4 linked regions of the Yarrowia lipolytica genome follow. The protein of the gene in region 4 binds, or shares a complex with, the protein of the main gene of each other region. Links are inferred from orthologs where the notes say so. Each region holds a gene or a part of one and is shown on either strand. Other genes may lie near its edges. The genes, in order: YALI1_E00533g, YALI1_C25307g, YALI1_F31725g and YALI1_E25859g.

What was found.
Region 1: YALI1_E25859g (region 4) and YALI1_E00533g share a complex: the UniProt entries of both Saccharomyces cerevisiae proteins name them as parts of the translation initiation factor 2B (eIF2B) complex. The link is inferred for Yarrowia lipolytica from reciprocal best matches to the Saccharomyces cerevisiae genes GCD1 and GCD2.
Region 2: YALI1_E25859g (region 4) and YALI1_C25307g share a complex: the UniProt entries of both Saccharomyces cerevisiae proteins name them as parts of the translation initiation factor 2B (eIF2B) complex. The link is inferred for Yarrowia lipolytica from reciprocal best matches to the Saccharomyces cerevisiae genes GCD1 and GCN3.
Region 3: YALI1_E25859g (region 4) and YALI1_F31725g share a complex: the UniProt entries of both Saccharomyces cerevisiae proteins name them as parts of the translation initiation factor 2B (eIF2B) complex. The link is inferred for Yarrowia lipolytica from reciprocal best matches to the Saccharomyces cerevisiae genes GCD1 and GCD7.

Annotation. Positions count from the first base shown.
Region 1 is NC_090774.1:49,229-57,364, forward strand, and holds YALI1_E00533g (uncharacterized protein), read left to right. Parts: upstream 1-4,082; coding exon 4,083-5,378; downstream 5,379-8,136. Other genes in the region: YALI1_E00510g (uncharacterized protein), read right to left, coding at 1-1,812, 1,944-1,969; YALI1_E00527g (uncharacterized protein), read right to left, coding at 3,321-3,505, 3,791-3,830; YALI1_E00551g (mitochondrial 37S ribosomal protein bS6m), read right to left, coding at 5,944-5,965, 6,341-6,636. UniProt on the Saccharomyces cerevisiae protein: Acts as a component of the translation initiation factor 2B (eIF2B) complex, which catalyzes the exchange of GDP for GTP on the eukaryotic initiation factor 2 (eIF2) complex gamma subunit.
Region 2 is NC_090772.1:2,527,155-2,533,652, reverse strand, and holds YALI1_C25307g (uncharacterized protein), read right to left. Parts: upstream 2,939-6,498; coding exon 2,015-2,938; downstream 1-2,014. Other genes in the region: YALI1_C25336g (uncharacterized protein), read left to right, coding at 1-1,827; YALI1_C25301g (uncharacterized protein), read left to right, coding at 3,438-3,490, 3,544-4,276; YALI1_C25288g (uncharacterized protein), read left to right, coding at 4,827-6,498. UniProt on the Saccharomyces cerevisiae protein: Acts as a component of the translation initiation factor 2B (eIF2B) complex, which catalyzes the exchange of GDP for GTP on the eukaryotic initiation factor 2 (eIF2) complex gamma subunit.
Region 3 is NC_090775.1:3,168,320-3,176,414, forward strand, and holds YALI1_F31725g (uncharacterized protein), read right to left. Parts: upstream 4,379-8,095; coding exon 4,320-4,378; intron 4,205-4,319; coding exon 3,193-4,204; downstream 1-3,192. Other genes in the region: YALI1_F31687g (uncharacterized protein), read right to left, coding at 1-407; YALI1_F31689g (uncharacterized protein), read left to right, coding at 678-2,567; YALI1_F31733g (uncharacterized protein), read left to right, coding at 5,031-5,786; YALI1_F31744g (mitochondrial 54S ribosomal protein bL19m), read left to right, coding at 6,158-6,703; YALI1_F31760g (uncharacterized protein), read left to right, coding at 7,743-8,095. UniProt on the Saccharomyces cerevisiae protein: Acts as a component of the translation initiation factor 2B (eIF2B) complex, which catalyzes the exchange of GDP for GTP on the eukaryotic initiation factor 2 (eIF2) complex gamma subunit.
Region 4 is NC_090774.1:2,582,408-2,590,321, forward strand, and holds YALI1_E25859g (uncharacterized protein), read right to left. Parts: upstream 3,548-7,914; coding exon 2,096-3,547; downstream 1-2,095. Other genes in the region: YALI1_E25826g (uncharacterized protein), read left to right, coding at 230-1,804; YALI1_E25866g (uncharacterized protein), read left to right, coding at 4,179-5,597; YALI1_E25889g (uncharacterized protein), read right to left, coding at 5,867-6,502. UniProt on the Saccharomyces cerevisiae protein: Acts as a component of the translation initiation factor 2B (eIF2B) complex, which catalyzes the exchange of GDP for GTP on the eukaryotic initiation factor 2 (eIF2) complex gamma subunit.

The sequences.
Region 1 (8,136 bases), about 2.5 Mb from region 4:
TCCAGAATGTTCTTGAGGAAATCATTCTTGGTGGCCATGAGAACCTCGAGGTGCTCATCAGGCACAGCGTCACGGTTCTTCTCCACAAAGCCTTCGGCCTCATAGTTGACGTCCTGGGCGTAGTGGGCAACCACAAACGACGTGTTGCCGAACCGCGGCTTCTTGAAATGCTTGTTCTGCGGATTATCTAGCTGCTGGTACAGCTTGGTGCACCAGCCATCGTCGCTACCGGCGGGGAGACGCGACTCCTCGTCAAGCAGAGAGAGGATACCCAGCTTTGCCTCGATCAGGTCGATACAAGGCTGGTTGTCGGAAAAGTCAATGAAGGTCCAGTTGATTTCCTCCTGCACGTACTCGTCCTGCTCGAGCTTGAACACGTGCTGGTTGAATTCCTGTTGCAGCTTTTCGTTGGCGTAGTTGATGCAGAACTGTTCAAACGAGTTCTTCTTGAAGTGCTCGAAACCAAAAATATCCAGTACACCAATGAAGGTCTCGACCTGTTCCTGCACTTTGGGGTCGCACAGGCCGCCATTGAGCTCGCTGACCAGCCAGTCGAACAGTGACGTGTAAATGTGCTTGGACACGGAGTCACGCACCACCAACGACTGCTTGTGAGTCTGGTTGGACACGATCTTGTCGGCTCGCGTCACAATCTGTTTCTTGGTGATCCATTTGGCAAACTGGACAGGGTCAATCTGCAGCAGCTCACAAGCCTTGATAAGAGAGGGCTCGTCGGATGACAGAACCGCGTCCTGACGGGTCTGGCCAATTTCAATGTTACCAATGTGCAGAATACCAGCCAGAATGTTCCACAGGCTCTCTTGCTCGGGTTTGGCGATGCCAATAGTCTCGAGAGACGCACCGGTCAGCTTGAATTCCTCGCTGTCGTCCACGCCTTCAATGGTATCATTACCTCCTTGGTTGAGGTATCGAAAGGCCGGAACACCTCCCTCGACACCTAGAGCCTTGGCAAGCTCGGGAGAGGCACCCTTGACCAGCTGGTAAAAGATGTGGTAGTTTCGCTCTGTGGCAGGCTGGAACACGAGACGAGATCGCTCCAGCAAGAAGGTTCGGATTCGAGCACCCACAATGTCCACGTCCTTGTTGAAGTTGATCTCCAGATATTTGCCGAACCGCGACGAGTTGTCGTTTCGGGTGGTCTTGGCGTTACCAAAGGCCTCCATGATGGGGTTGGTGGCGAGAATCTGCTCCTCGACGTGGGACAGTGAGTCACCTTGTGACACGTCGCGTTTTCGTGGTGCTAGCGGATCCTCCACTGTGGCAAAGTACCGCATAATGTACTTTGCAGACACGGTCTTTCCTGCTCCGGACTCTCCTGACACCACAATGGTCTGGTCCTTCTTGTCTCGCAGCATGCATCGGTAGGCGTCCTCGGCAATGGCGAACAGATGGGGCTCAAGCTCACCACGGGTCTTGCCGGCGTAGGCCTGGATAATGTCGGGGGTGTAGAGGTTGTCGACCCGCTGAAAAGGGTTGGTGGCAATAAGCACGATTCCCGAGTAGGTGTAAATGTTGAGCATCTGGTATCGGGTTCGGATCGCGTGCAGCACACTGGGCTCATTGAGATAGGACAGGGAAGTCAAGTCTTCGGTGGACTCCAGAATGGGGGGGTTTCGCAGGGGGAGCTGAGGGACCTCGGCTGACGACTTGAGCACAGATACGGAGGTCTCTACCGACTTTTCCTCGCCGTTCTCCAGTGTCAGGTTGATGGTCACCTTCTCACCATCCGTCTTCTGGTCGACCACCTCGGCACCCACCCATCCTTCTTTTTCGTCTCGGATCCAGCAGCGGCTGTGTTAGCAGTTGTGTAATTAGGGGTTTATCACGAGATTTTGACAGTCGTATGAAACGCCGAAAAAACGCGAAACCAGCTTTTTCGGCGTGGTATTGCCGGTTCATCCTCCCCTTCTCGTCATACTCACATTCCGGGCTCGTAACTGATGGCCATGAGCGCGTCGATCCGTGTGGATAGTGGTGTGGTGGTGTGGTGGTGTGGTGTTTGTGTGTTGAATTAATAAGCCTATTGCACGACGTGTGGACGGGGGAAAACACGTGTGGGCTTGTGTCGTAGGAAGAAGCGCAAAGGAATTTGAACCAAGTGTGGTCGGTAGCGTAGTTGCAAAATGTTACTCAAGATAGATAACACCCGATACTAAACACCCTTCTCCTGTTTGATGTGTTGGAAGGAAAGTCAAACTCTGTGTGCTAGTGCTAACCTGCAAGTAACCGTGCTCAGCGAAACACAAGACAGCAGCAGCAGCAGCAGCAGCAGCTGTCCAGGTGGCACCTAAGCGGGAGCTAATGGCGCCAAATCTAGCATGTTCATTCTAACTCCCCAATTCTGATAGGTGTTTGTTTCATGGAGCGACGCGGTAGGTCCGTTGTGGCAATCTTCAAAGAAATATCTCCAGTAAATAGCCGACTATTGACAATAAAAAAAAAAAATCAGTCACTACTCTGTGCAAACATACAATACAACTCAACTATGTCCGTGTAATTGTTTCTCGCTGGCACGTGTCATTATTATTATTTCCAGTACTTGTCCTCGTGGGCCCCCGTGATTCACCTCCCCCGTATGTACTCGTACCGGTACTACGTGTCCAAAATAATGCGCCCCTGCACACATTCCGAAAGAAGGGGTTGAAACACCTGTGACCGGTAAACGAAGCGAAATTGAAGTGAGAAATGAGTAAATAAAGGCCGCGCTGAAACGGGCGAAATTGAGGGAAATTAATGGGCCCAAAAGACTAGAACAATAGGGCCGACAAGTTGACAGCATACTACTTGTTTAATCGATAACACTCCCTCCTACCGCGTTCACAGCACCTGACGGGACCCCTGAGACTCCCGAAAAACACGCATTCTTGAGCTGCAGTACGCACCGTTAAAATGCGTATGGCTTAAGCTAAAAACAGGGGGCTCAGGGGCTCAACATGTGACATGGTGCCTCTGGTCGATCGCCGAAAACAGAGAAAAACACAGAGCCGTTCTGAGACGGCATGAACAATCATCTGAGACCGTACTGTTATTATTTTAGCCTGTCACCAAGGGCTGGCATGTGAAAAGCTAAACTGTTGCCGGGGTGACACCTTCTACACAACGCGACAGTCTCTAGCATTAGCCTTTTTAGGTCACGTGCCAAATAAACGAAAGAGGACACAAAGGTTAGGGGTCACCTTGGGACTGTTAATTAGTGCTTATTAATCGAAAGAATGAGGTGCTTATTAAGCATGGCCCACTACAGACAAATATGAAATGTCAATTCATGCATAAATTATCGTTGTTATCTAAAACCGTGTCTACTCCGTTCGCTGTTCGCTGAGAGCAGTCTTCTTCTTCTCCAGAACCTCCAAGGAGTGCTGATGAACGTTGTGAAGCACGAGTCCGAGGCCAGCCCAGGCCACACCGGAGAAAACGTATCCGAGAGGGTAGTAGCCGGCAGGCTTGAGTCGGATCTTGTTGGAAAGGAACTTGGTAGCGAATCCTGAGTTAGTATGTGATGTGTGCGAAGATATCTGATAGCATGATTGGTATCTGGTGTGCAGTCCATATCAGAACCGAATTGAAGACGATCTGAGATCACCGCTTGATTCATCATAAGCAATGCAGTTGATCCGTGCCAACAACCACTCCAATTCCAGTCAAGATTGGTCAAACATGTCTAGAACCCTTTGTGTCACTTGCAAGTCGATGGTTAAGACACAAAAACATGTCGTCGAAGCAGCGGAAATTGTCGGTGGACAATCTCGTCGCGCATTGCGATACTCACCAAGACCGGATGCACCGACTAGCGAAGTAAACAGAGCCATTTTTGCGGTATTGGTGTGTGCTCCAGAGATGACTTTGGTGATGCAATATGATTTTGGAGGTTGCAATTTGCGGTGCTGTGATTCGTTGGGAAAGCCGGGTAACTTTAAAATGATCTTGGTAGTTGTCAGTTCGAGTTGTGGTTGCAACATATTTAAACCCCCGAATGAAATCTGGAACCCTAATATATGCAAAAAAATCTAGTCTGATGACTATAACTGGAGATATCATCAAACCACCACAGCTCTCACGCCATGTCAGAACTTACACCCGCTCAGCTTAAGGCACAGAAGAAGGCCGCCAAGGCCGCCAAGCGTGCGGCTTCCAAGGAGGCATCGGGCCAGGCTCCTACTCGAGATCCACGAGAGGCCAAGAAGGAACAGCAACAGGCCGCAGCCAAGGAGGGAGGCTCATCTTCAAACACCGGAAACAACAGCAATAACACACAAGGCGGAAGCAATCAATCGTCCGCCTCTGCATCGTCCAAGGAGGATCGAACCCGGGCTTCCAGACCCGCTTTGTTTGGGCACCTTGAGAAGGCAGGAAAGGTGACTGCAGCGGATGCTGGCAAGGACGTGCATCCCGAGGTGATCACCTTGGCACTCCGGTACTCGTCGTATCAGATTGTGGGCTCTTCTGACCGAGCCCGAACTCTTCTGCAGGCCTTCCAGCGGGTTATTGCTGACTACGAGACTCCCGAGGGAACTACACTGTCTCGAAACCTCACTACACATCTTGGTCACCAGATTGATTTTGTCATTTCTGCACGACCGTTGTCTGTGTCCATGGGTAATGCCATTCGGTGGCTCAAGCAGGAAATTTCTGTGGTGAGCATTGACATGTCCGATCAGGCTGCCAAAGACATGCTGGTGGAGAAGATTGACGAGTACATCAAGGAGAAGATCGATGTGAGTGGATCCGTCATCGTGGAGAGCGCCGTCAACGACATTGCCGACGGTGACACCGTCCTCACTTTTGCACATTCCGAGGTGGTGGAGAACACCTTCATTGCTGCTCACCAGGCCGGTAAGCGGTTCAAGATCATTGTGGTCGACTCCCGACCTCTGCATGAGGGCCGAAAGCTGGCTCGAGATCTGTCTGCCCGGGGCATTGAGTGCATCTACATTCTGGTTTCGGCACTGGCTCATGTTCTGGACGACGTTTCTCGAGTCTTTCTGGGAGCCCATGCCATGCTTTCTAACGGCGCTCTGCTTTCGCGTGTCGGCTCTGCCCTCATCGCCACTGCTGCCAAGCGAAAGAACATCCCCGTGATCGTCCTATGCGAGTCCATGAAGTTCTCTGACCGAGTCCAGCTCGATTCTGTCACTCTCAACGAGCTGGCCTTCCCCGAAATGCTGGCAAACACCTACATCAGTGACAAGAAGAAGCTTCCTGAAGACAAGGCCAAGACCTCGCTCAAGTACCTCAATCTGTGCTACGATCTGACTCCTGCCGCAAATCTCACCAAGATTATCACCGAGCTGGGTCATCTGCCTCCCTCGGCCGTTCCCGTCATCATGCGAGAATACAAGTCCGCTTACACTATGTAGGGGAGGAGGTTAAGAGAGGTATTTGTAAGATAGAGGAACGACAAGGGGGGACTAAAATATAGACAATAAACAGTACGTTAATGGGGTTCGTGTGATATTGATGTATGTACAGTACATACTAAAGGTAGCATATGCAGTTTTTGCCAATGAGTCGTCGTGTCATGACGACACTCGCATAGACCTTTAGACGATTAACGACTTGTAATCCGTGTACAGGTATGTACGGCACCAGTATATATCTACGATATTGCAGCCGTGAGAGATTTATTTGACTTCATATCTGAACAGTTGTAGTTACTGACAGTGTTACTCCCTCGTACCAGTGCCGGTATGTAGTCTTATGAGTATGCACACACACCCGTGTTCGAGACCATGTATTAGCTAAAACAGTGTCTCGGATACACGAGATAAGAACAGTTGTATCACACACAAGACGGGCAAGAGTCGTCTTTACTCCTTAACTAATGCCCTTGTTCTGAAGTTTGAACATACTGTCCACCTACAGGCACGCCTTAGGCAAGAAAATCACTTACACTGTGTCGAATATGTACATTAAATAGAGATGCTAGATGAGGGTTTTGCTGGATCTGTGTTAGTATGTTGAAGATGTGTAGAAATATAGTTGTTTGAATGCAACGAGGAACTGCCTCAAGTCGTATATAAATGTCTGGTCGCTTCTAATAGCTCGAGGTGCTATTTCAGGTAACAGAGGAGGAATTCCGACGGCTTGGCGAAGACTAGAATCCAACATGTCCGTGTCTAGACTTGGGTTGCTTATTCAAGACGCCACTCAAGATTAGAGAATGATTGTCAAAAGAGCATCTTAAATAGAAAAGGATAGAATGAGCAAAGACTTCATTTTTTGTCCAAACGGGCACTTCTGCTCACAAAATAGCTCTCGCCTGTCCCAGTTAGCTCTCCAGCTTCGTTACTCTGTTCAAGAGCAACCATATCATACTCACTTCTCATTCAGCTTGACGCAAAAGGTTCGAATCAAACGGGGGTCAGCCTGGACAGCTCGCATGATTTCGCCCTGGGCTCCGGGAGAACAGTCGAACTTCATGTAGAAGTAGTCGCCGACCACGTAGCTCTTCTGCTGGGCCTTCATGATCTGGGGCAGGGGCTTGAATCGCCAGCACTCAATGAGGCGGACCACGCCTCTGTTGCCGATGATCATTCGGCCGATCTGGGTGACGGCCTGCTTGGCGGCCGCGTGTGCCGGAGTCACCGATGCGATTCCAACGAGTTCGTAGAGCATTTCGAGTCTGTTGTGTAGAGGGGTAGTTGGGATGCGATGACGTCGTGTGAGAGATGAAGGTTGAAAATGTTACTGGATGCTGCAACCTTATTTTGGCACTCTGAACATGGTCGGTCTGTCAGTACAATACGTGAGTAATTAAGAGCACTTTAATATCGAGCCGAAATAGGTAGGTCGGATATATGAACAATAAAGGAAATTTACCTGAGGGGTCTGGTTGCTCTCAAAGTGGATAAAATATATGACTGCGTTCATGTAAGCCAGATGCTGCTAACATTCATCTCTAATTACTGCTCAGGTAAAAGTCACGTGCATTTTTTGCGTTCGGAGCATGTACCAGTATCAAGTATGTACTGTACATACCTGGAAATGACCTGTGGGTGCAACATCTCGGACAAGTACCATACCGGCAGGTATTGTAGCTTGCTCTGAGAGAGTCGCTGTATGTAATATCACTGACTACAGTATTACGGGCAGATGGCGTTTTAACCTGTTTTAACCTGTTTTAACCTGTTTTAACCTACAGTAGGAAGAGCATTGATGGCCTGTCACATTTCTCGAGACCACAGTCCTGGTTAATGATGATTATTTGATGGGGTCTATTGATAAATGGTATCTTGCAAGAGCTATGAGTGCTTCTGGGATTGTTTCCATTTTTGTGCAGCTAACAGACATTAGTTAAATGATATTGATGATGTCCTGGCTTTCAAATTTTACCCAAGTAATCAGCCAACTAAGACACTTACCTAAGTGCCTGGAAAACGGTGATATCTCGAGATACTGTAATAGTACAAGTATTAGGAACGGCGCTGGAGAAAGAAAGAAAAAGTCTACCTCTCCTGTATATCATTTGAGAAGATATGGATTCTCGATCAACCGACACACGTCTGTACTTGTAGAATATCTGTCAACTATTTCTCAGCCACTCGACTACTCGTGTGTACATACTGTAGATGCCTGTTTGTAGCCAAATTTCGTACTGTCCCCTATTCAGACGGTCGCCTGAAAGCTGCTTCCATAGTATCCTCTGATGAAGCACCGAGCCTGCAAGTTGTGCACATAAGTACGCATCAGACCCATGTGCGGCTGAATCATTGGTTGTGTGGGGTGAATTGGACCGTGGTTCCAGTCTAGGGATGGCCCTTCAGGAGCAATGACAGATCACAGAAGGGGCCCAAGTATTCGATTTCTCGAAGCTCAAGTCGGCTTCTATCATGTCACCCGCGTCAACTGTACTCAGTGTTATCGTGTTCTCAGCACTGAGTCTGACAGGCAGCTGAGTACGCAGTTGCAACTACTGCACATTATCGTATCTCGTTAAGGCGGCTGTCTCAATAGTCCAAGGTTTAGTTGCCGGCCTAGAACAGCTCGAGTTTGTGAGCAACTGTGTGGTGTATATAGAGTCTAGGGTGGTCGGGAATTGTTCTCGTCTATATTGATTCTCATTCTTGTGATTCATTATTCACCCACATTTATCAGATCACCCCCACAGTTCTCTCT
Region 2 (6,498 bases), on a different chromosome or scaffold from region 4:
ATGTTGCCACGAGCCCTGAGTCGCCACGTGGCCAGACAGCCAAGGGTCTCGAGCTCCACTGCTGCACGACTGCGAATCAGCAACCATGGCCGAATCCGATCCTTCCACAGCTCCAGGGTATCCAGTATGCTGCAGATCCCCGAGATTGGAGGCGACGGCGAGGAGAACAAACAGTCGCGAAGCGGCTGGGAACGCACCAAGGAGATCCTCACGAAAATGGCCGAATCCGCAGGTATCACGTTCGCCAGTATCGCCATTCTGGGCATCGCCGGAATGACGTACCACTACTACTATAAGCGCCATGTGGTCAAGAAGATGGACGAGGCGTTCGAGGACGGAGACCCGGCGTTCGAATTGACCATGCATCGACGAACAAGCGAGATGGAGGGCTGGGTGGAGAGAAGTCATCAGAAGCTGCTGGATGACATCATTGCCGGACGAATCAGCGGACGATACTACCTACTGATTGGAGAAAAGGGAACCGGAAAGACCAGCATGATTCTGGAGGCCATGCGAAAGTGCTCTGGCTCGTGCTGTACCATTCTTGATGCCCATGCTGACCCAGAAATCTTTCGAATCCGACTAGGTAAGGCTCTGGATTTCGAATTCCACGAAGACTACATTGGATCTCTGTTTTCCATCCGGGGGCCCCGTGATACCACCGCGCTGCTGGACATTGAGCGAGCCTTTAACAAACTCGAGGAGGTTGCTGTGGGCAAGGTCCGAAAGACTGGCCGACCTCTGGTTATGGTGATCAACAATGCCCATCTGATTCGAGACGATGCTGACGGAAACAATTTGGTCGAGCTGCTCCAGCAGAAGGCCGAGGCTCTTTCTGGAGCTGGTCTGGTGACTATGATTTTCAACTCGGATGACTACTGGCTGTACGAACGACTCAAGAAGCTGGGAACTCGCCTGGAGGTTGTCACTATCAAGGATTTGGATCGAGCTCAGTCCGTTCAGGCTTTCCAGCTTGCTCGACTGAGAGCTCGAGGTATCTCTTGCGACGTGGAGACAGCCAACCGGGTGTACGATCTTGTTGGGGGTAGACCCCAACATCTGGCTCATGTCGCAGGACACAGGAACATTCTCAAGGCTTGCCAGGAGCTGATTGACCGAGAAAAGACTTGGTTTCTCAACCAGTGTGGTCTGCTTGGAGAAGATATGGATGACGATGTCATGGAAAGTGGTAAGTTTAGCACCTCCGCCATGTTTCTGATGCGAGAACTGGTGGAGATGGATAGACGACGGCTCAAGGACGTGTCTATCTACAACACCTTGCATCTGAGCGACCACAAACTGCCCGAGTTGCCTCTATGGAGAGCCAGACAGGTCATGACCCGTCCCGACTACATTCAAGTCTACGACAACCTGAACATTTTCACCATTGACTCCTTGTCACGAGTACGAGCCGACTCTGTTCCCATGATGCAGGCCTTTCACGAAATTGCAGACATGCCTGGGTTTGATGATTTTCTCGAAGAGACTGCCGACCGAGTATCTGCTATCGAGTCTCTTGGTCGAACCCGAGAGCTGGTGGCTAAGGATCTAGTTGAAGGCGGCAAATACACCGTCAAGGACGCTTTCCGAACGTTTGCCATCAAGCTGGTGCAGCCCGAGGAGGAGGAGGACAAGGCCGAGAGCTCTCTCGACCATCTGGGCAAGTCCGACTGGTGGAATCAGCGAGTGAAGAAGTTCACCGAGCAGATTGAGGAGGAGGAAGTGGCTCTCAAGGAAAAGGAAGCCAAGGCTGTTGGAATCCCTAAACATGTCGAAGATGTCGCGAAAATCCCTGGTGACGTTGAAGAAGTCGCAGACTATAAGTAGAAGTCGACTAGAATTGGCTAGTCCGTCCGTTGTGAGGGCACTTGTAAAAGTACAATTGTGTACGAATAAATTATACATGATTATCTTGTTGTAATCATTCCCCTGACCGCACCTCCATTATCCAATGAACCATTGCATACCTTTCCATTATCTATATACTCCACGCACTGTGCCACTCCCGTCAGTCTTACTCATACCACATTTTAATCAGCTCCTCAGAAACGCCACTTGGAGTGAGAACTCCCAGATCTGTGATAAGTGCAGTGATGTAATCGTGAGGCGTAAAGTCGACGACTGGCGACAGACCCTTGTCGGCATTCTGCTCCTCGGGCTCCTCAACAGTGAAGTGGAACATCTTTTTGGTGTCTGGCAGATCGGCCTGGGCCAGAGGGAAGATTCGCACAAACTTGTGACTCTCGGTGACCACGTAGAAGGGCTTATTTGCGTTCTTGGCTAGCACGGCAATCTGATATGATCCGACGTGGTTGATGACTCCTCCAGACTCCGCCACTCCCTCGGCACCACAAAACACCTTGGACACCTCGTCAATCACAGATCCGACGGCGTTGTCCACAATTAGACTCACGGGAATGCCTCTCTCCCTCAATGCCTTGGCCATTCGCTTACCCTGATCACTAGGAGCAGCCTCTGTGACAAACACTCTGAAACGCACCAAGTTCTTAGCAGCATGTTCCAGAAGGGCCAGTACCGTTCGCGAGAAAGAGTGGACCAGAATGACATCGTCATCCCGCACAAATGCTAGACCCTTTTCCGAAATGGTCTTTCGAGCAGCCTTACTTCGCTCGGCAAACAGCCTTCCGTTCTTTACCAAATGGCCCTTGCAGGCCTCCCAGTCGCCATATTCCCGGATATTTCGCAACACAAATCGCATAAACAGATCACAGCCTGCAGAAAGCGACATAGAGTTGTCCACAGACGTCTTGAGCTCCGCGCTCGCCTCCTTGAGAGTCTGAATCAGCTCGGCTGATGTGCTGGTTTCGGTCTCACTGAGCAGCTGGACCAGGGCCTCAATGGCCGCGACAGGCATGGTGATGTCGGGGTCGTCCCGCAGAAAGCGCAGATATGTCTCTTTGATGTCGAATTTGGCCATGCTGGATTACTTGTAGTGGTCGATTTGCTCTATGCTGCAATTTTTGGTTAGGTTGGGATTAATATTTTCAGAATCCTGAATCACGTGACGATATGAGATTGGCCCAGTTACCCGGCAGTTCGAACGTCGACGAATGTACTGATACGCTGAGTTAGAGAGGGGTTGGAAGGGCTTGTGGTGGTTGAGGGGTATATTAAGGTCACATGACTGTATGTTAAGCAAGTGCTCATGTTTTTTCCGGTCCCCATCCCCTGTCTGATGCCCTTGTGTGGTGTACTTGAGCAGTTGGGAGTTACTTAGCATGTTCAACTAAAGGCTAAGTACTGCATGTCCTGCTGTCGAATAAACTTCGTGCAGCTTACTCATCAGCCATCTGAACAAATACACGAGCTAATTTTTTCACAATCACCAAAATGCTGGCTCGACTGGTAAACGGACTACGGGGTGAGTAACGCTAGAAATGGGGAAGGAAGAGACTTGGAAGGCATTCAGCGAAGCCATGCAATCAGCAGATCGATTCTCAGCGACAATACGACCGTGCCAAACGACACGGTGAGAGTGAAAAATTTCGGATCGGAAGTTCACGAATGACTGCACAACTTAAGGAACCTAGGGAATAAGGAATCCCTGTCATTCCAACAGGTCTATCCGAGTCGACCACCCTCAATACCGTGCTCCTCTGACGGCCGTACTAACTCAGCTACCCGCCCTACTGTCGTGTCTCCTTTTGCTGTTCCCACTCTGGGCTCCATTCGACACAAGCACGAGTATGCACCTCGATTCAAGAACCTACGAAAGGCCCAGCGAGGCCGAATCACTGTCCGAACCGGAGGATCCACTCGAGGCTCCACGGTCGAGTTTGGCCAGTGGGGCCTGCGTCTTGTTTCTGAGGGTGTGCGGCTGTTTGACAAGCAGCTCAAGGCCGCTGACGGAGCCATTGCTCAGCTGATTCGAAAGGCCGCTCCCGGCTCTCAGCTCTACCGACGGTTTCTGCTCTCCACCCCCGTCACTCGAAAGGGTGTCAATATCCGAATGGGTAAGGGTAAGGGAGATATCGAGAACATGGCCACCCGATGGCCCACTGGAAAGGTGGTATTTGAGGTTGGAGGCCAGATGCACGACCAGGTTGTCAAGGAGGCCTTCAAGCGAGCTTCCAGGCGTCTGCCGGGCCGATGGGAGGTGATCAAGAAGGGCGATCTGCCTGTTGTTGGCTCCCAGGAGGTCCCCGAGGCCACCCCCCGAAACTACCTGCAGGAGATGTCCGAGAACCCCACCAAGCGGTTCCAGGCCCTGGAGGACTCCAAGAAGGAGGAGTTTGTCAAGTACCGACGACGATAAATGTATATAGTAACATATTTGATATTGAGAGTGTGAAATGTAGATGTGTGTAGAAGACTTGTATCAACAAACGCGCCAGTACAGTGACGAAACCTTGGTTCCAGTGAAGAGTTACGAATCGGAAGGGTGAGCAATCTCTGTTGTTTGCTAGACGTTGTAAAGTGCAAACCAAGGTGTTACTATGGGGTATATCGATATCTCAGTATATACCGGCACATACTGTACAATACTGTACTTGTGATGCCATTGCAAGCTGGATCATAGGTCGTATGACTCCTTTTTTACGACGTTGGACCTGTGTACTCGTGCGCTATATTCTCGGTACTGGATCCAAATTAGAGACCAAAGAGGTTGTTTGAGAGACATTATCTGCCAACTGAAACACGGTTTCTTCACAAACACGTACTATTCACCAGGATATATATTCTATTTCGTACTCAGCATCCTCACACTACCCAGCCAAGGTTTATGCGAGATATGCAATAACGTTCGAAAATTACGGACCTGAAAAAAACACAGGAACGCGACTTTTTTCCACCAGCAACCCACAATGACACGATCAAGGCGTCCTCGGCCCTCCTACGTGATGGAGGGCGACGACTTTGCGGGTGACGACTCGGACTCGGACTTCAACCCCGGCATTGAACCGACCGTGGAAGATGACGACATGGACGTGGATGTGAACGAGGTCAAGGCTGAGGAGGAAGATGGCAACTACGGTGACGAGATGGAGGTGGACTACGTGCCCAGCAAGTCCAGCAAATCCAAGACCAAGGCCGTCAAGCCGACTCTCAAAAACACGCCGCGAAAAATGCCTGTGAAAAAGATTCCGACGACAAAGGCGGCGGCTGCCAACAAGGAGAATGGAGAGGACCGAAAGGTGGCTCTCAAAGACCGGTTCAACCTGTTCTACGGCTTTGATGAGGCTTCGCGGGTCAAGGGTAATGCTATCCGTCAAACCTGGGGTAACGTGACCTACGCGTGGGGCAAGAATATCATGACGCCCAATGTGACGTTCGAGACGCCTCCTGACCTCAAAGTCAACGTGGCTGAGCAGTTTGGAACTGCCGAAAAGGGCGATGATCTCACCACCCTTGGTCCTTCAATGTCTCTTTTGAATAGCACCGGTGAAGAGACCACTCTGGCCCCCAAGACTAGCTCTTCCTGGAAAGCCAGTGGAGGCGATCAGGATGCACCTAACCCAGCTTCGGTAATTAACGCTGGAGCTCCTGTTTCGTCTGTCGCCTGGGCCTACGGACACACCGTGGCCCAGTACCTGGCGGTCTCCACTCTCAACAGTTCTCTGTCAGACTCCACCACCGGTCTGCCAGAATCCACAGACCCGACGTTCAAGGCCTTTGCCTGCAATACTGGACCTGGAACGATTCAAATATGGAAGTTTAGCCCACAGCCATCACTGAACCAGGTATTCACGTTTGATTTCGGCTTCGCTTCGGAAATGGCCTTCCAACCCAGAAACCAGGATGATGCTCGAGACAGTGTAGGACTACTGGCCTCTGTTTTCCAAGACGGCTCTGTGCGTGTTTTTGAAGTGCCCTACAACAATAACGACGAACCCGTGCACATGACTCTCAAGGCTCCCTACAGAACATTTATGTTGGCCAGCTCAAAAGCCACCTGCTTGTGTTGGAGAGGACCCACAGTCATTGTGGTCGGATACACAGACGGAAAGATTGCCGAGTTCGATATCTCAGACACAGACGATGAAACCGCACTGATACCGTCGTACTTTCTGCCCATCCACTCCACCTACGTAGCCTCCATTGCCTGTGGCTACCCCGTCGACTCACATTTGGTGTTTTCCTCGTCGCCAGACGGTTTCTGTAAACTCACAGACGTCTCTGATGCTCGTCACACTCGGGCTATCAACCTACGAGTCATTGACTACACACCTGCGGTGGCGTACCAGAGCCATGTGTCTTCGTTCACGTGTTTGGAGGATTCCGAGACTGTTCGAGTCTTGCCCACTCGACAGCTGAACCTGTACAAGTCTCTGACTTCTGTCACACGACACCAGACGCACGCTATGAGTGTGGGTACCTCCATCAACCATCCGTTTGTCATTTCTGGAGGCTCGGACGGAACTGTGGCTATGGGTAACTGTGTCAGAAGAGTCATGGTGGGCGCTCGATACACGCACTCGTACGCCTTTACCATTCTGTGGCGATTCGAGTACTCCAAGAAGGAGAATAGGTATCGAT
Region 3 (8,095 bases), on a different chromosome or scaffold from region 4:
ATTGTGGGCGCAGGAGAGGGCTGGTCGGGACGCTCGAGCTTCTGAAGTCGTTCCTGCTCCTCCTCCTCATCGAGCTCATCCTCGATATCTCGCAGACTCTTGTAGGGCTGGTCTCGGCCGATGTCGTTCAGAGCCACCACCTGCTTGTTGAGCTTGCCACACTTGATGAGCTTCTCGTCCAGCTTGAACTTCACCACAAACAGACCTCGATAGATCATGGCAAAAAACACAATGAAAATACACGTTCCCGCGTACTGGCCTCGGTTGGAGGGAGTCCATTGATCTGAAAACAGAGCGTCCACCATGTTGGAGTGGAAAGTCATGGCCATGCTGTGGGACATTCCTCCGGACGACGAGCCGCCCATGTCCATGCCGCCCATATCCATGCTTCCGTGGTCGTGGCTCATTTTTGTGTGTGAGAAATGGTGTTGGAGTTGAATAAAAAAGAGATGGAAATACTGGAATTATGAGCTGCTGATGTCTCTTTTTTGAGTTTGATATTTGCTCGTTTCAGCTGGAAAATCTGAGTCTATGTGCGAATAGATTTATACTATTACTAGCTAGCGGAACACTATGCATCTTTGAGCAAACTGTAAAGAGTGTGTGGTATCGGAGTCCTTACGACCAGCTCCAGGAGGTTCCTATTCTCAGCAAACTCCCTCGAAGTCACTCACAACATGGTCTACGACATTCTGGCCACCGCCAAAAACCAGGGACAGGGCTCATACAACTCGGACGGATCTCCAAGACCAGGGTTTCTGGGAAGAGTTTACTGGATGGTCATTGGTGCCATTTTGGCAGTAATTACCATTTTCCGCGTGCTTTCGTTACTGCGACAAAAGTACTACTTGAAACGACAAAAGCCACCCAGATCAGACTCTGTTCCAGCCAAGATCATTGGAGCTATCGTATCTACAGCTCGTGAGGCCTCTCTATTACAGATCCCAGGGTTTGATATTCCTTGGGTCAATTACACGGTGGAGTTCCCGCCAGTAGGAGACATTCTCATCATTCTCTTTTACGTGATGATTGTAATGCTGCTGCTCTTCTCCAAAATCGACCCTTTCAACCCTATGAACTACGAAACTGTGGCCTACCGATGCGGCTGGGTGTCTATTTCCCAGATCTCACTTATCGTCATTCTGGCAGCCAGAAGAAACCTCGTGTCCATTCTCACGGGCATTTCTGCTCAGAGGCTTAACCTGTACCATCGATGGACGGCCCGAGTGTTGTTCCTGTGCGTCATTCTGCACCTGGCCCACTTTATCAAGACCTGGGGAGTCACTCACCAGATTCAGAACCAGGTGTCGACAAATACGTTTGCCCTGAAAGGCTTTGGAGCGTTTGGAATTCTCTGCTGGATCTTCATTTCCTCTTTTGCGCCCTTCCGAAACATGAGCTACGAGTTCTTTGTGTTCCAACACATTGTTACTATGATTGGATTCATGGTAGCAGTCGTTATCCACGCGCCCAATTACGCATACCATGTCGTAATCCCTCCTCTGGCTCTTTTTGGACTTGACAGAGTGCTCAGACTGGTCTGGAACCTGTTCATCAATAAGGCAGGGCTCAAACCTCATCAGACAGCCCTGAGAGTCGAGCCTGGAGCTGTGGTGGCCACAATTCCCACAGGACTCTCATGGTACCCTGGACAGCACATGTATCTCCGTTTCCCTAACGTATCTCCTTTAGAACAGCATCCTTTCACAATTTCCACACTGCCCGGAGACGATATGCAGTTTGTGATTCGTTCAAAGGCGGGATTCACTAAGCGGCTGCTCAAAAAGGCCTCTCAGCTCCCAGAACACGAGAAAATGACCCTTCCAGTCTACCTGGACGGTCCCTACGGCGAAACTCGTGATTTCAAGCAGTTTGACACCTCTGTTTTTGTCTGTGCCGGTATCGGAGCTTCTTTCTGCCTCCCTATCGCCGTGGACATTATTAGAAACCAGCACAAGACCATTGCTCGACGTCTCAAGTTCATCTGGATCACAAAGCGGTTCCAGGACATGGAACTGTATGCCGCCCAGCTGACTGAGCTGCTTGAATGCGCACGAACGTTCTACGATACAGCCTCTGGAATCGATGTTGTTGTCGAGATCTTCGCGACTTGTGAAGATGACTGCTGTGGGGCTGTCACTAACTGCTCTAGTTGTTGTTGTGACGAGGTGGCTGTTTCTCGGGGCGAATGTTGCTGTGCAGCTGGTATCGAGCCCCAGCCGAAAAACGAACTTACACAAGCCCAGACTGCACTTGCTCAATCATCAACGCTTTCTCCGGTATACTACGACTTCGTTGAGGCCGGGTACCTGCGTCTCAAGCAGGGACGACCCCAGCCTTATCAGTATAACCGACGAAAGAAGCTTGGATCTGACAAGTCCTTCTACCGGCTCATTTCGCCGGTCATTTCTATGGCTCAGGGTGAGTCTGGAGTGTGCATTTGTGGCCCTAGACGGTTTACGAGAATTGTTTCCAACACTGTTGTTGACATCACCGACGACAGGGCAGTTCTGAGAGGTACAGGTAACCAGGCCGTGTACACACACGTGGAGCATTTTGGGTTGTAGGAAGAGGGAAAGGATGATGAATGTATATATATATATATATATATATAATTTAACACTGCATTTGTATGGAAAGTAGCTATACTTAGCTTACAAAGAGACATATGCGCTCAAGCGCCTACATCCTGTGGTTCCTGTAACTGCGCTACAGTAGAACAACAAATTCGACAAGACCTGCATTCATAAAAAGTCATAAGCTGACTACAAGTAGATACTTGTACATGATTAGGGATTATACCAAGGAACTCCTACTCACTGTTTGTATGTAAGTTCAAATCAGTACAAGTACTCATATTCTTCATAGTAACAATCTCTAAGCAGTTTATTACACACTATCAAGGTACAGTATGTACAGTAGGTATGGCGGCATACGTCTTCGTTTTATTATTTTTGCACACGAACCTCTGAAGCGCACTGTACATTGTACATACTGTTCAGGGTAAGTCCCTTCCCATTCCAATCAATGTAACATCCCCTAATGTAAAACTTGTAGACTGCGCCAAAACCACTGGTTCTCATTCCTTCTCTCAGTCTAGTGAGGTGTCGTATCACACCAATCTGCAGTTTTAATTAGCACCATTTTATTCGCTATTCAACCGTCTATCTACACCAGTCCACCTCACTCCATTCACAAGTTACCCGCATCACTGTAGTGATCCAGCACAATTCTATATATAAAGGCAGGGCTGAACTCGCCAATGTTTGTGTTGTAGATCTGGATGTCCTCCGGGGGCACGTAATCGGCAAGAGGGTTGAACACTTGAAAGCCCTCCACAATCTCCGAGTCGGAGTAGTCGGCCACCTGTGCCGAAGAGCCAATCTCAATCATGCTGGGCACATCGAAGGGGTACACGGGGGACAGCTTGTAGATGGCTGTAAGTACCACCACGGGGGTGGAATGCTGTGTTGCTGTGGCGCAAACGAGAGCAGATCCAGCTGATGAAAGACATCCTCCATTGGCCAGCACGGTAGAAGTGCCCATGATGACTCGTCCGACCTTAGACATGACGGCGTAGACGGCAGCATCGGGGATGATGATGGCCTCGACTCCGGCCTTTGTCAGTTTCTCCACCATGTTGTGTGCTGCATCAATCTGGTTGGGGAAGCCCTCGGTGACCAGAACGGTGAAGTTTCGCTTACGTGCGGCCTTGAGCAGAAACAGCAGCACGGTTTCGGATGCAGGGGTCGGGGTCAGAATGATCTGGTTGTCGTGGATCTCGTCGACAGACATTTTGGCAATGTTCTCCTCGATGTTGGCGACCTCGTCAATCAGATCCTGAATACCCTCGATGATGTAGGGCCGGATATCTCGGTTCGCCTGTCGCAAAGCAGCCTTGTCCAGCACCTCCTCCTTCTTGTCGTTCTTCTCCAAAAGACCCAGCATGCTGCCGCTAAGCCCGCCGTTTTCGGCCTTGTGGCCGTGCTGCTCCTCCCGAATCAGTGTCAGCACTCGCGATACGATATTTCGACACGCAATCTCCTTGGGGGCGGTCTGCACCAGACGCACTCCCAGGGCACGAATGTCCTTGACTAGAGAGTCAATGTGATTCCATCTTGCGGCAGAAACAAACCGCAGAAGCAGTTGTGCCGTGGCCAGAGCAACTGCGTGTGATCCCGACAACTGTCGACGTTTCAGTTGGCTATGTTAGTTTCGGCTTGGTGAGGATGTCGTGATCCATGTCACGAGGTCTCGCAACAGCCCCGAGTTTAGGCATCGAGCCCTCTTTTTCCAGCAAGAAGCCCTCAAACACTCACCTGATGAACTGCTCAACGAAAATATCAATTTCTCGGTCGCCTCGGTTCTGACTGGACATTTTTTGGTGATGGAACTGATGCTGGAGTTTTCTCAAACTTTGCATATTGGACCTAAATTTTGATGAGAGTCACGTGTCATGCACGGTACAGTAGTGATAATCTATGGAGTCAAGAAAGTGCAATAAATGAGGAATCTGTTGTATAGAAAATTCTCGGACACAAATGATCGAACGAAAACATTGGATCGATTAGGATATCTGTGCTGTTATACTACCCTTGGCGTTTTGAATAGCGTGCGTGTTGTTTCACACACAGAGATATCTGTACATACGGCGGTTCTATGGAAGCCAGGAGCACTTCCAAAAGTGGAGAACATTTTGTACAATCTATCATGTATGCTTCGATGTCATACAGTACCATCCCCAGGAACCCTACTCCTTCGCTGCTGGCATCTGCTTGTCAATAAATAATCTCTTTATAAATAATTGTTAACGGGTAGAGGCCCAGAGAGTCTTTATCGGCTCATATAGACTCGGTGTCGGACTCAGACTCACTTTCGGATTCGCTGAAGTCCATACCAAAGAAATCTCCACCCTTGGCCTTCACATTCGAGCTGGAAGATCCTGCAGAAGATGACAAGGCAGTATCAATTTCGGATACAGCCAGAGCAGCCATCTCCGCGTCCTTTCGCATCTTCTGAACGGCATCTTCATGGTCTTCCAGCAGTCGTGTGTTTTCAAACTTGCTCTTTCGACTGGACCCACTGGTCTTTTCCTTCTGCAGAATGTTGAGCAGCTTCTGTTTCTTCTCTTCGGCCTCCTTCTTCTTGATCTCGTCGGCTGTGCTGAGGTACTCTCCAAGCTCCTTGGCCTGCCGGATACTCTTCATTCGGCGGCCGTCCAGCGTTCGAAAAGAGTCGTTCTCCGTCTCCGTCTTCTTTCTATTCTTCTTTCGGGCCATACGTCCTCCCTGGGCTCGCAGCATGGACCCGAAACCACCCTTTCCACCGCAAAGACGCATATTCCAGCGCAAGTAGATGTCACCAGCTGCAGCAGACAGGCTCTCAAGACTCTGGCCTCCTCTGGTGCTGAGATATCCCTTGGCTGTGGCGTTAGGGGGCAGTTCTTTGAGAGCGCTTTCGATAGCGACGTGGACATCATCATCAGCCAAAACGTGTTTCTGGATATCTCTCAGACCACTGGGGGTGGAGATGAATATAGTGGGCATGTCGGTGGTGGTGGCGAGGCGAGGGTTTTGTGTACCGTGGTGTTGTGCTCTGGATGGATGTTGGTGATACAAATTATATTATGGTTCAGATTATGGTGCATGGTACGAGTGAGGAAAAACTCGACCAAGCACTACATTACTTGTATGTATGTACCGATCCAGAATAAGCACTTTGGACTGGATGAGACTGAATTAGAGCGGTTGGTAACTGGTTGTGAGAAAATAATATGGGTAGAATAACAGCACCAAGACGCCATCTTCACAAAAACATTCTCGGTATCAATTTGTTTGTCACGATCTTCTCTTCTGTACCGTCTTGAGAGCCCTAAACTGTAGAAAAACAAGAAAACATTACAAAACGATTCAACAAAGGCAAACTCATTGTAGAAAGACGAAAATTACTACAGTATTCGAGCCATATGGTAGAGGAACACCACGGACGCATCGGCTCATTCATTCTTATAGCCCCTCTCCCTTTGTTTTCTCATCGTCTCGGACTCATCTTCCCAGCATTACAAACCGCAAACCCTAACCGCGACTGAAAATTTAACCAAAATAGGCCCTAGAGCACACCAACAGTCAGTATACAGCATCACCACACTTGCACAAAAATGCTGGCTCGACTGATCCGTCCATCGCTGGCAGCGGTGCGTCTGCCCGTGATGCAGATGGCCACATTCAAGACCATCAAGCGAGAGCCAAAGACCGTCAACATCTACGAGCGACACCCCCGACGTCTGGGTACCGAGAACGCTCTTACACACGTCACTGACAAGCTGATGAAGCAGTTTGATCCCCAGGGCGTCAAGATGGAGCTGATGAACCCCAAATCCGCTGACCGAATCAAGCCCGGAGACATTGTGCAGATCAAGACCACTGATGGCTCTCTGTTCACGGGCCTCACCATGGTGGTGGACTTCCGAGGACTGTCCTCTAACCTGCTGCTGCGATCTAAGATCACCAAGATCGGAATCGACCGACGATTCAAGATCTTCTCTCCAACCGTCGAGTCTGTCAAGATTATCCGACGGGCCACCCAGAAGTACACCGCCGAGCGTCTGTACTACATCCGAGGCCACAAGCGTCTGGATGTTGGCGATCTCGAGGCCTCCGTCAAGAAGGCAGCCGCCAAGCGAAAGAAGTTCCTCTTCAAGTAAATGTATATAGTGAATGGAAGGATATGGAAGGAGAGCTGAGAGTAGGAATGATGGAGGGCTGGATCACTACATGTGCTTGTATGTGACATGCCAACATGGGCAGCTTGCGAGCAGCTGTGTCACAACTCCAGTGTTCCAATATTCGAGCATGGTCACATTCAGTTCCTTACAGTGTCAGGCGGCTTCTGAATCAATGCCAAATACACAAGTGCGGCCATGTGAGATCATTTGTTCCCCTTTGCTCTAAATTACAGTAGCTTATACAGTGGAACATCTCATCTCTCGAGGTTTATCTCCTTTTTCCAATAAACAGTATCAACTAAACTGTCCCATTAGTTAAGACTCAACATGAACACTATCTATCCACCAATATTGTTTTAAATTTGCTTAAAAGCTGATACATCTGACAATATCACCAAATGAAACAATAAACACTCCTCCGATCCTCCCTCGGTCCCTCAATTCTCCGCCTTCAACACTGGCCATATCGTTAACGACTCAAGTCTGAAAGTTACTTTGCCCCGAGTAAAAGCTCGTATGACAAAACCTAGCAACATCGAAGTTCCAGCCTCTCATTGGATGGTTGGTGGTGTGACATCTATTTACACAATATAGAGACTCAATGACGGCCACAACAATACTACCAGATTGACAAACACCAACTTGCACCTTCAAACCCAAACCGTCAATCAGGCAACTTCTAGAGATGCTCATTTCAAGCACTTCCAGAGTGGAAAACTTGCTTGCAACCATGTGAAGTTATTGCATGAAAACGAAGGGATGTTCAAAGGAGTGGAAAGTGGCGAAAAAATAATTTTTGAAGGAGTAGAATGAGGAATTGGTGCCGAATTGAACGCCCCCCAGCGATTGGTATTCACATCATTCGCTCCGCTATCATACCCCTACAATACCTTTGTCTTAATTCCGCTATTGCCCATTAAAGTTACAAGTAGGGTAAGGGGGTTCTGCAAAAGTTTTAAGTGGTTGTCCCAAAATCAAGCTGTGCTTCCTTCTCTGATTACACACCCCACAACGCGAAATGTTCTTCAAAACGCTTGCTAGTGTGCGACCCGCCGCCCAGCGAGTGGCCACCTCCGTTGCCAGCAACAAGGTCCTCTTTGCCCGAGGTTACGCTGCCTTTGACCGATCCAAGCCCCACGTGAACATTGGAACCATTGGCCACGTTGACCACGGAAAGACCACTCTGACCGCCGCTATCACCAAGGTGCTTGCCGAGAAGGGCGGCGCCAAGTTCCTGGACTACAATTCTATCGACCGAGCTCCCGAGGAGCGAGCTCGAGGTATCACCATTTCTACCTCCCACGTTGAGTACGAGACTGCTAACCGACACTACGCCCACGTTGACTGTCCCGGTCACGCCGATTACATCAA
Region 4 (7,914 bases):
TGCAATGCTTACCCAAGTTTGTTAGCCGTCTACACCACAGCATCGGTCACAACTCCACCAGTAGACTAGATATACAAAATCAAAACACATATCCGCACTCCACGTAATCACTAAACCTCAAAACCTGCCCTACCTTTTCAACAACTCCCTAACCTGCCGACCCTCACATGCAACCCCGCCATATTACTCAGCTTATCACGCACCACCCACAAGTACACTCTATTTCAGCATGCGCAAAAAACGAGTGATCGGAACCAAGGTGGAGCCGGTGAAGGAGCCCAAGGTGGTGCAAACAAGCGCCGCTCCCACTCCGCCACCCCCGCCGACCCCGCCGGTCGTCTCCACGGCGTCCCCAGGCCCCGAATCACACTCAGCCACTTCGCTGACATGTCCGATTTGCGAGGAGACAATGTTGACGCTGATGCAACTGAATCGGCACATTGACGACGTACACGGTGATGGCAAGGTAAAGGGCAAGACACGGGCGTCCAGCGAGAAACCACACACGAAACCGCGACCCACCGACGAAATGGTGACCAGACGGCACTGGAAGCACCCCGGACCGGGCCAAACATGCCACTATCCGGACTGCAAACGCAAGCTGGGAGCCAGGAACGGCTCAAGGCACTGCCGACATTGTGGAAACATCTTCTGCCACGGCCACAGTCGCTACAGAATGAAGTTGAGCCGAGATGCTCACCACCAACCAAAGGGCGGTATCTGGTGTTGGGTGTGCAAGACTTGCTACACGGGCAGAGAAGGGTACAATGACACGACAGGTACTGAAAGAGATCTGACGCAAGAGTTCAAGAAAAAACGCCAGGCGAAAATCGACATCCAGGAGCTGTCCGTCAATAAGCTGGAAAACAGACTGAGACGACTTGCGGAGGAAAGCATAGAGAACGAGAGCTCGGGACCCTGGTGGAAACCCAAGGCGGCTGTCACAGCCTCAGTACCATGGCAGGAAGACTCAACACAGCCCAATTGTCCGGAATGCCAGGTCAAATTCACCTTTCTGATCCGCCCTCATCATTGCAGGGTGTGCGGAAAGGTGGTGTGTGGACAGACATCCACACAATGTTCTCTTCCTGTTGGTGTGAACATTTTAATCAACAGTCTCGATATGAAAGAGGAGTTCAGCGACACCATTCCAACAGATTGCGAACCCATACGGATCTGCATGACTTGCAAGAATACAGTCTTTGGTAGACGTAACTTTCAGCGGGATGTCAACTCCGATCCCAGCGAGCTGCTTAAGCTGTACAACACCATGACCCATCTGACCACTTCCATCGAAAACATGATGCCTCGGTTCCAAAAGGAGCTTGAGGAGACGATTGCGTCCAAAAAGATGGCCGGTATGCATCCCAAGGACATTTTGGCAGCGTCCAAGCTGCGTAAGCGTCTTCTCGATACCTTTTCGCAGCTAGATTCGGCTGCTAGAAGAGTAGGAGCACTGGAGGGACTGTCTCCTACAGAAGAGCGAATACAGCAACAGATATACACAGCTGCGGTGTCATTTCTACAAGAGAAGATGCTGCCCTTGAAAACGCTTCCCAAGGTGCTGGGTAGTGAAGCTACAGCCCCCGAGCCAGCTAAACCCCGTCCTCCTGCCAACTACAAGGCACTTCAGCAACAGCTGGTGGTCATGGAGGAACAGAGGTTTATGGTGGAGAACATGATGCTGGAGGCCAAGCAGAGGCGAAAGTACGACGAACTGGGGCCTTTAGAGATGTCTGTGAAGGATCTCGATAAAGAGATTGAAATTCTGAGGAAGAGGCTAGGAGATGAAGCATTTGTTTAATCTCAGTTTAGAGCAGCACCACGAAGGAATATTTGTACTCATAGAAAGTGCTAGCGACCCTATGGCATGATACTGTATGTATCAGAACAGTAATGAATAATGAATGATGACAATTATGTATATTACTTGTGGCGGATTCGGTGACTGTAGATAATTGTACAAGATACAACTATACTTGAACATCACATACGAGTGCGGAACATTTCAGAACGTGAAAATGTTCTGTGATTCTAGATCAAGTCTGTAATTACTCCATACTCTATCCAACATACATTAGCTATACTTGTCCTTCTAAGACCGATCGAAGAGCCCATCATCATCATCGTAGTCGTCTCCTCCGCTGACGGACCAATCGTCCGAGTCGCCCATTTCGCTGTCATCGTCATCATCGTCATCTTCGTCATGGTCGTCAGTGTATTCGTCGGACTCCATCAAACCCTCCAAGGACAGCTGTAGCATGGTTTCGTTCTTGGCCACCTTGCCAGCCTCCACCTTGTATCCTCCTTCAACATTGCAGCCTGTGAGTTTGGCCTTGGTACCGACTGTGGTCTTAGTTCCGACCAGACAGTTCTCCAGAGTAACGTCATCGGCAATGAAAGCGCCGTCAAAGATGACACAGCCGTTGATTCGACATCGTTTGCCGATGGTGCAGTTGTTTCCAACCACAGATCGCTTTATACTGGTTCGCTCGCCCAGCTGGGTCTCTTCGCCGACCAGAGAGTCGACACCAACAGTGGCAGCTCCCTTAACAGCTGGAGCGGGCTTCTGGGCAGTGGCGTTGGCCTTGGCTCTTGCCTTCAGAATCACTCGGTTCATTTCCATGTATGCAGACAGGTTGTTTGCTCGTGCAAAGGTATTGGAGTCCAGAACGCACAGAGACACAGACTTGAGCGGCTTCGCATGTGCCCACGACCGTCGGGCAATGTCTCGAACCACTCGGTCCCACTGTCGGCCTTTGGCCAGAATGGTGTGTGCCTCCTCCTGTTCTTGTCTGACAGGCGACGAAGATCGGGTGTCGGGATCTTCGTCTGTGGAATCCTCCTCAGGGGCAGCCTGAGTCTCGGTGATGACTCTACACACGTCGGCAGTGCAGAAGTAGACGGACGCATTGAGCAGCTGTGTGGAGACCAAAGACTTAGGGAAGTGCCACAGCATGGATCGGCGGATGGGCATGGTCTTCTTGTTCTCAATGTAGTCACGCGAATACGAGTCCAGCAGCCGCGGGGTTCGCGAGTCCAGCGATGAGTGCACCGTCACGTCCTTGAGCAATGACTTCTTGTCCACGTTCTCCAGGGTATTGGGGTAGTAGAAGGCTGTGAGAAGCGAGTCCGAGTCTCGGCTTCGGTAGGTGTCGACCAGCGAGCTGGCGGGAATGTCTGTGATAAAATCGCAGCAAACCACAATGAAATCAGAGGGTTCCCCTCGAGTCAGCTCCAGAATGAAGTCTCCAGACTTCGCATCGGTCTTGGAACAGATAGTCACGTTGGAAGCCACAACTGAGGTGGAGTGCTCAGCCTTGAAAGAGTCCACGTAGGCGGAAATCTCCGCCTCGTCAGCTGTAGAACAGCACACAAACACCTTGGGGTTGGGGATGGTCTCACACCATTTGAGGGTGTAGTCGATCACAGGCACGTTGGCCATGGGAAGAAGGGCCTTGGGCACTCCAGACGCTCTCACGGACGAGAGAGGTGCCATGTTTTTGCCCTGGCCGCACAGAATGAACACTTTGAAGTCGGCTCCCATTGTAGCAGAGGAGATTTAGCACAGAGTGGTGGTGGTGTGTGCTTTATGTGATCTTTTATGTGCTTCTTTTCAATGCTAATAAATTTCACTGCACATGGAGCTTGCATCGGAGTTTATTTGACGGGGATGGCGGTGTCTGTAACAAGATGTGGAGATATCCTATCGATAAGATAATGATGGAAGCAGATTGTCTGAGAAATTACAAGAAGAATGCACTTTTCAGATTATATGTGGGATCTATATTGGTAGAGTTGGATAGACCTATATTCAAAGTCATTCTGAAGTAAAATGAAAGATAGTTCAACTGTTGGGTGAAGTAATGTGACAATTTGGTTAAGTTACTTATACGCTTATGTAATCAATAATTAGATGTACACCTCTTTCTCCTCAATGGGGTTTCTCACTTTATTTATGGATTTGTCATTGTGTCTATATTACAGCACATCAACTACGGGTACCTCTACTAGATCTGTGGTTGCATAACCACCAAGAGCGAATGGGTCCACCCATACCCATCCAGACTCTGTTACCTCACGTAATCCTGTGGAAGGTGTCAGAATACGAGGTTTTAGAGTAGTTGTGGAGTAATGGGGATATTGAGAGCAATAAGTGAGGAATATAAAAGCGATTGATGATCATTTATTCCCCGATATTCTGTCTATATTTGTCATTACTGTACTCTCACCTTCACTCACCTCGCCACCATACGCCACTCTTCTACCAAACACTAATATTGGGAGGTGCATCACCACTTCACATATTAGAACCTCAACGCTCCAGTTACTACATCAGTACAACACACCACAACACACACAACATGGAAAACGACCCGCTGCTCGCAGCTCTCAACCAGGAGGCGCCCGAGGTGGCTGCCACACCCACAGATCCCGAGCGGGAAAAGGCGATCGAGTCGTTCAAGAGAAAACTCAAGGAGCATCGAGAGTACGAGGTCAAGCTCAAGGACTTGCGACTGGGCATCAGAGACCTCGAGCGCAAATTCGACAAGACCGAGGACGACATCAAGGCGCTACAGTCGGTAGGCCAGCTGATTGGCGAGGTTCTTAAGCAGCTGGATGAGGAGCGGTTCATCGTCAAAGCCTCCAACGGCCCCCGATACATTGTGGGCTGTCGGTCCAGCATCAAGAAGGAGAAGCTGCTGCAGGGTGTGCGTGTGTCTCTGGATATGACCACTCTGACTATCATGCGAATTCTTCCCCGAGAGGTCGATCCTCTTGTCTACAACATGACCACGTTTGAGCCTGGAGAGCTGACCTTCTCCGGTATCGGTGGCCTCAACGAGCAGATCCGTGAACTCAGAGAGGTCATTGAGCTGCCTCTGAAGAACCCCGAGCTGTTTTTGCGAGTCGGAATCAAGCCTCCCAAGGGTGTGCTTCTGTACGGCCCTCCCGGAACAGGAAAGACCCTGCTGGCCAAGGCCGTGGCCGCCACTATTGGCGCAAACTTCATCTTCTCGCCCGCCTCAGCTATCGTCGACAAGTACATTGGAGAGTCTGCCCGTCTGATTCGAGAAATGTTCGGATACGCCAAGGAACACGAGCCCTGTATCATCTTCATGGACGAGGTGGACGCCATTGGAGGACGTCGATTTTCCGAGGGAACCTCCTCCGACCGAGAAATCCAGCGAACGCTCATGGAGCTGCTGAACCAGATGGATGGTTTCGACTATCTCGGAAAGACCAAGGTCATCATGGCCACCAACCGGCCCGATACTCTGGACCCCGCCCTGCTGCGAGCAGGCCGTCTGGACCGAAAGATCGAGATCCCACTGCCCAACGAGGCCGGCCGTCTGGAGGTGTTTAAGATCCACGCTGCTGGCGTTCAGAAGCAGGGCGAAATCGATTACGAGGCCCTGGTCAAGATGAGCGACGGTTTCAACGGAGCAGATATCCGAAACGTGGTCACCGAGGCTGGCTTCTTTGCCATCCGAGACGATCGGGACTACATTGTTCAGAACGATCTGCTCAAGGCCTGCAGAAAGGTGTCCGAGAACAAGAAGCTGGAGGGTAAGCTCGAGTACGAGAAGTTGTAGTAGACTAGTTAAGCATTTAATCGCAAGTGAGAGTGTAGTTTGCCTGTAGTGCCAAAGCACTATTATGTTTCAGCTGTGGCATATGATGTATACTGATAATGAGTTTATCACGATGTTGCCATGTTCAGCTACGTTGTCAACTATTACACTCCATCGAGATCGTACTGAGAGAAAACGACCTGGTTGCTACTTGTATCATGAGCATGCTTTCGTTATAATGTCATCAATTTCCATATGAATGTCCTTCGTTATCTATGGCCACTTGTCTCTTAAGAGATCATCTCCATCACCCTATAATCATCATCCTCCACCTCCTCTGGAATACCGTGAATCGTGGCTTTGTGGAAATCCTCATCCAGTCTTCTCTTGGCCTTTGCAAACTTGTTCCCAAAGTTCTCTCCATCCACCACAATGTCCCCCTTGATGAGTTTCTCCTGTGAGACCATCCAGGCGTCAAGACTTGGGACTTTCAGATCCGGGATCGTTCTGAATGGCACAAAAAAGCCAGTCCTGAACGAGTTGAAGTGTGTGCGGTTCTTGAGCCGGGGAGAAGACAGATCTGTCGTCATAACATGGACATGGACATGATTCATGCTGGGCACCGAGTGGATGCCTGACTGGATCTTCACGTCCTTGGAGTATCCCTTTGTACGAATGAACTCGACAGCAACCATTTTCTCAACTTTTTCCACCATGGCACGAGTTTTTTCGTACAGGTTGTCGTCTTCAAACGCCTTTAGAGGATGGGTATCGGGCTTGACAGCCTTGGGTAACACCAGGTAATGGATATGTGATTTCGGGAACGCATCTTTGATCACGACAAAGTCTGGTGTGTCGAGAGTCACATCGTTGGGGAATTTTTCAGGACTCTTTATGTACTGACCTAGTGCGTATTTCCATGACATGTTTGAGAGTGATGCCGTATGTATCAGACTGTGTGAGACGTACTTTTATACACTCCAACGCATTGGGAGCAGGAGCAGGAGGTAGAAAAAGACGATGGCGAAGAACAATCAAAACGACGCAATGCGAGTATTTCGAGACAGTTTTTGAGATGGATCGACAAAGTATGGCATTGTGATCTCATTACTTAGTTTTACTTACCATTGCTTCCCCCTGGTAGTGGAATTAGCAGGATCTTTCTAGCAGGTAAAATGCTTACAAAAGCTAGGATCTTACTTGATCGTTTACTTGACCTAATACTTGGCTCTACCTCTACCATTTAAGAACCAAACAAAAAGAAAGAAGAGAAAAATCGAATAACATGGCGGGCCTCCCATCCCCAGAACTAAACGCCTGTCTACTCCACGACATTTGCCGTTACTGAACCACCATCTCATCAGACAACATTGCTCCACCTACAAGTAGCCCACTTTTCAGTCAAGTGCGGCTACAGTAACAGTCTTCCGTAGGAGTCTGGAAGAGCCATGAGTGAAAAAAAAAAAAAAAAAAAAAAAAAAGGGCTTTAATTGATGATACAATGTGTATTTGTACCACACAAAGGACCTATCATACTGGTCACGTGACAGTTGTATATTGACCCCATCCCTCGATCTCACCTAACTGACCACGTGACGACAAGTGCAAGGACGAGTACACTTCTCATTGGGATCTACAAGGGCATGCTTCAATTTCCCTTTTCGTTTCAACTTCTGGAAGTCTCCACAATCTGTCACAGTATGCTCTTTTTGACAGCGCAGGTAAATAAGCATGTTGCTTACTAGAACTGGTAAATAAGCACGTGAGTTAGTTGCCAGTAGTTTTGCAGTCTGAAGCAGGTGGGAAAGCGGCTCCATTCACCGCCACACAATCTCTGCACAAGCTGTACAACCTCATTCCTTCGGTCTCACTTGCGTTTCAGTACACGCACCTTCTACGAGACAACCCTGCATACCCCGGGCTGCACATGCTCACAGAGTTACTGTACTCGTAGGTGACAGCTCATCGACTTAACGAACGTGGTGCAGGTGGCGTAGAGGAGCTAGGAGAGGGGAGAGGGGGTGGATCGGTCAAAAGCGCGATTGACGGGGGGATTAGAAGGTCCTTATATACACTTTGAACACGTCATCAGTGACACAGGCCGTGTGACATGCCCACTTGCCACGTCCACCCTTTTTTCGAGATACGCGTCGCAACTTTGATGCAAATGACTGGTTTTTGCTTCGTCTGTCGATCTCTGGAACGGGGGGTTGAAAGCTGTGAATGGGCGGGTAATCGGGAAGATATATATACGACTGGACTCGCAAATCACAGACAAACAAGATGCACTTTTCGGATTTTCGCAGAGACCCCTACAATCCCAACTACACTCCACTCC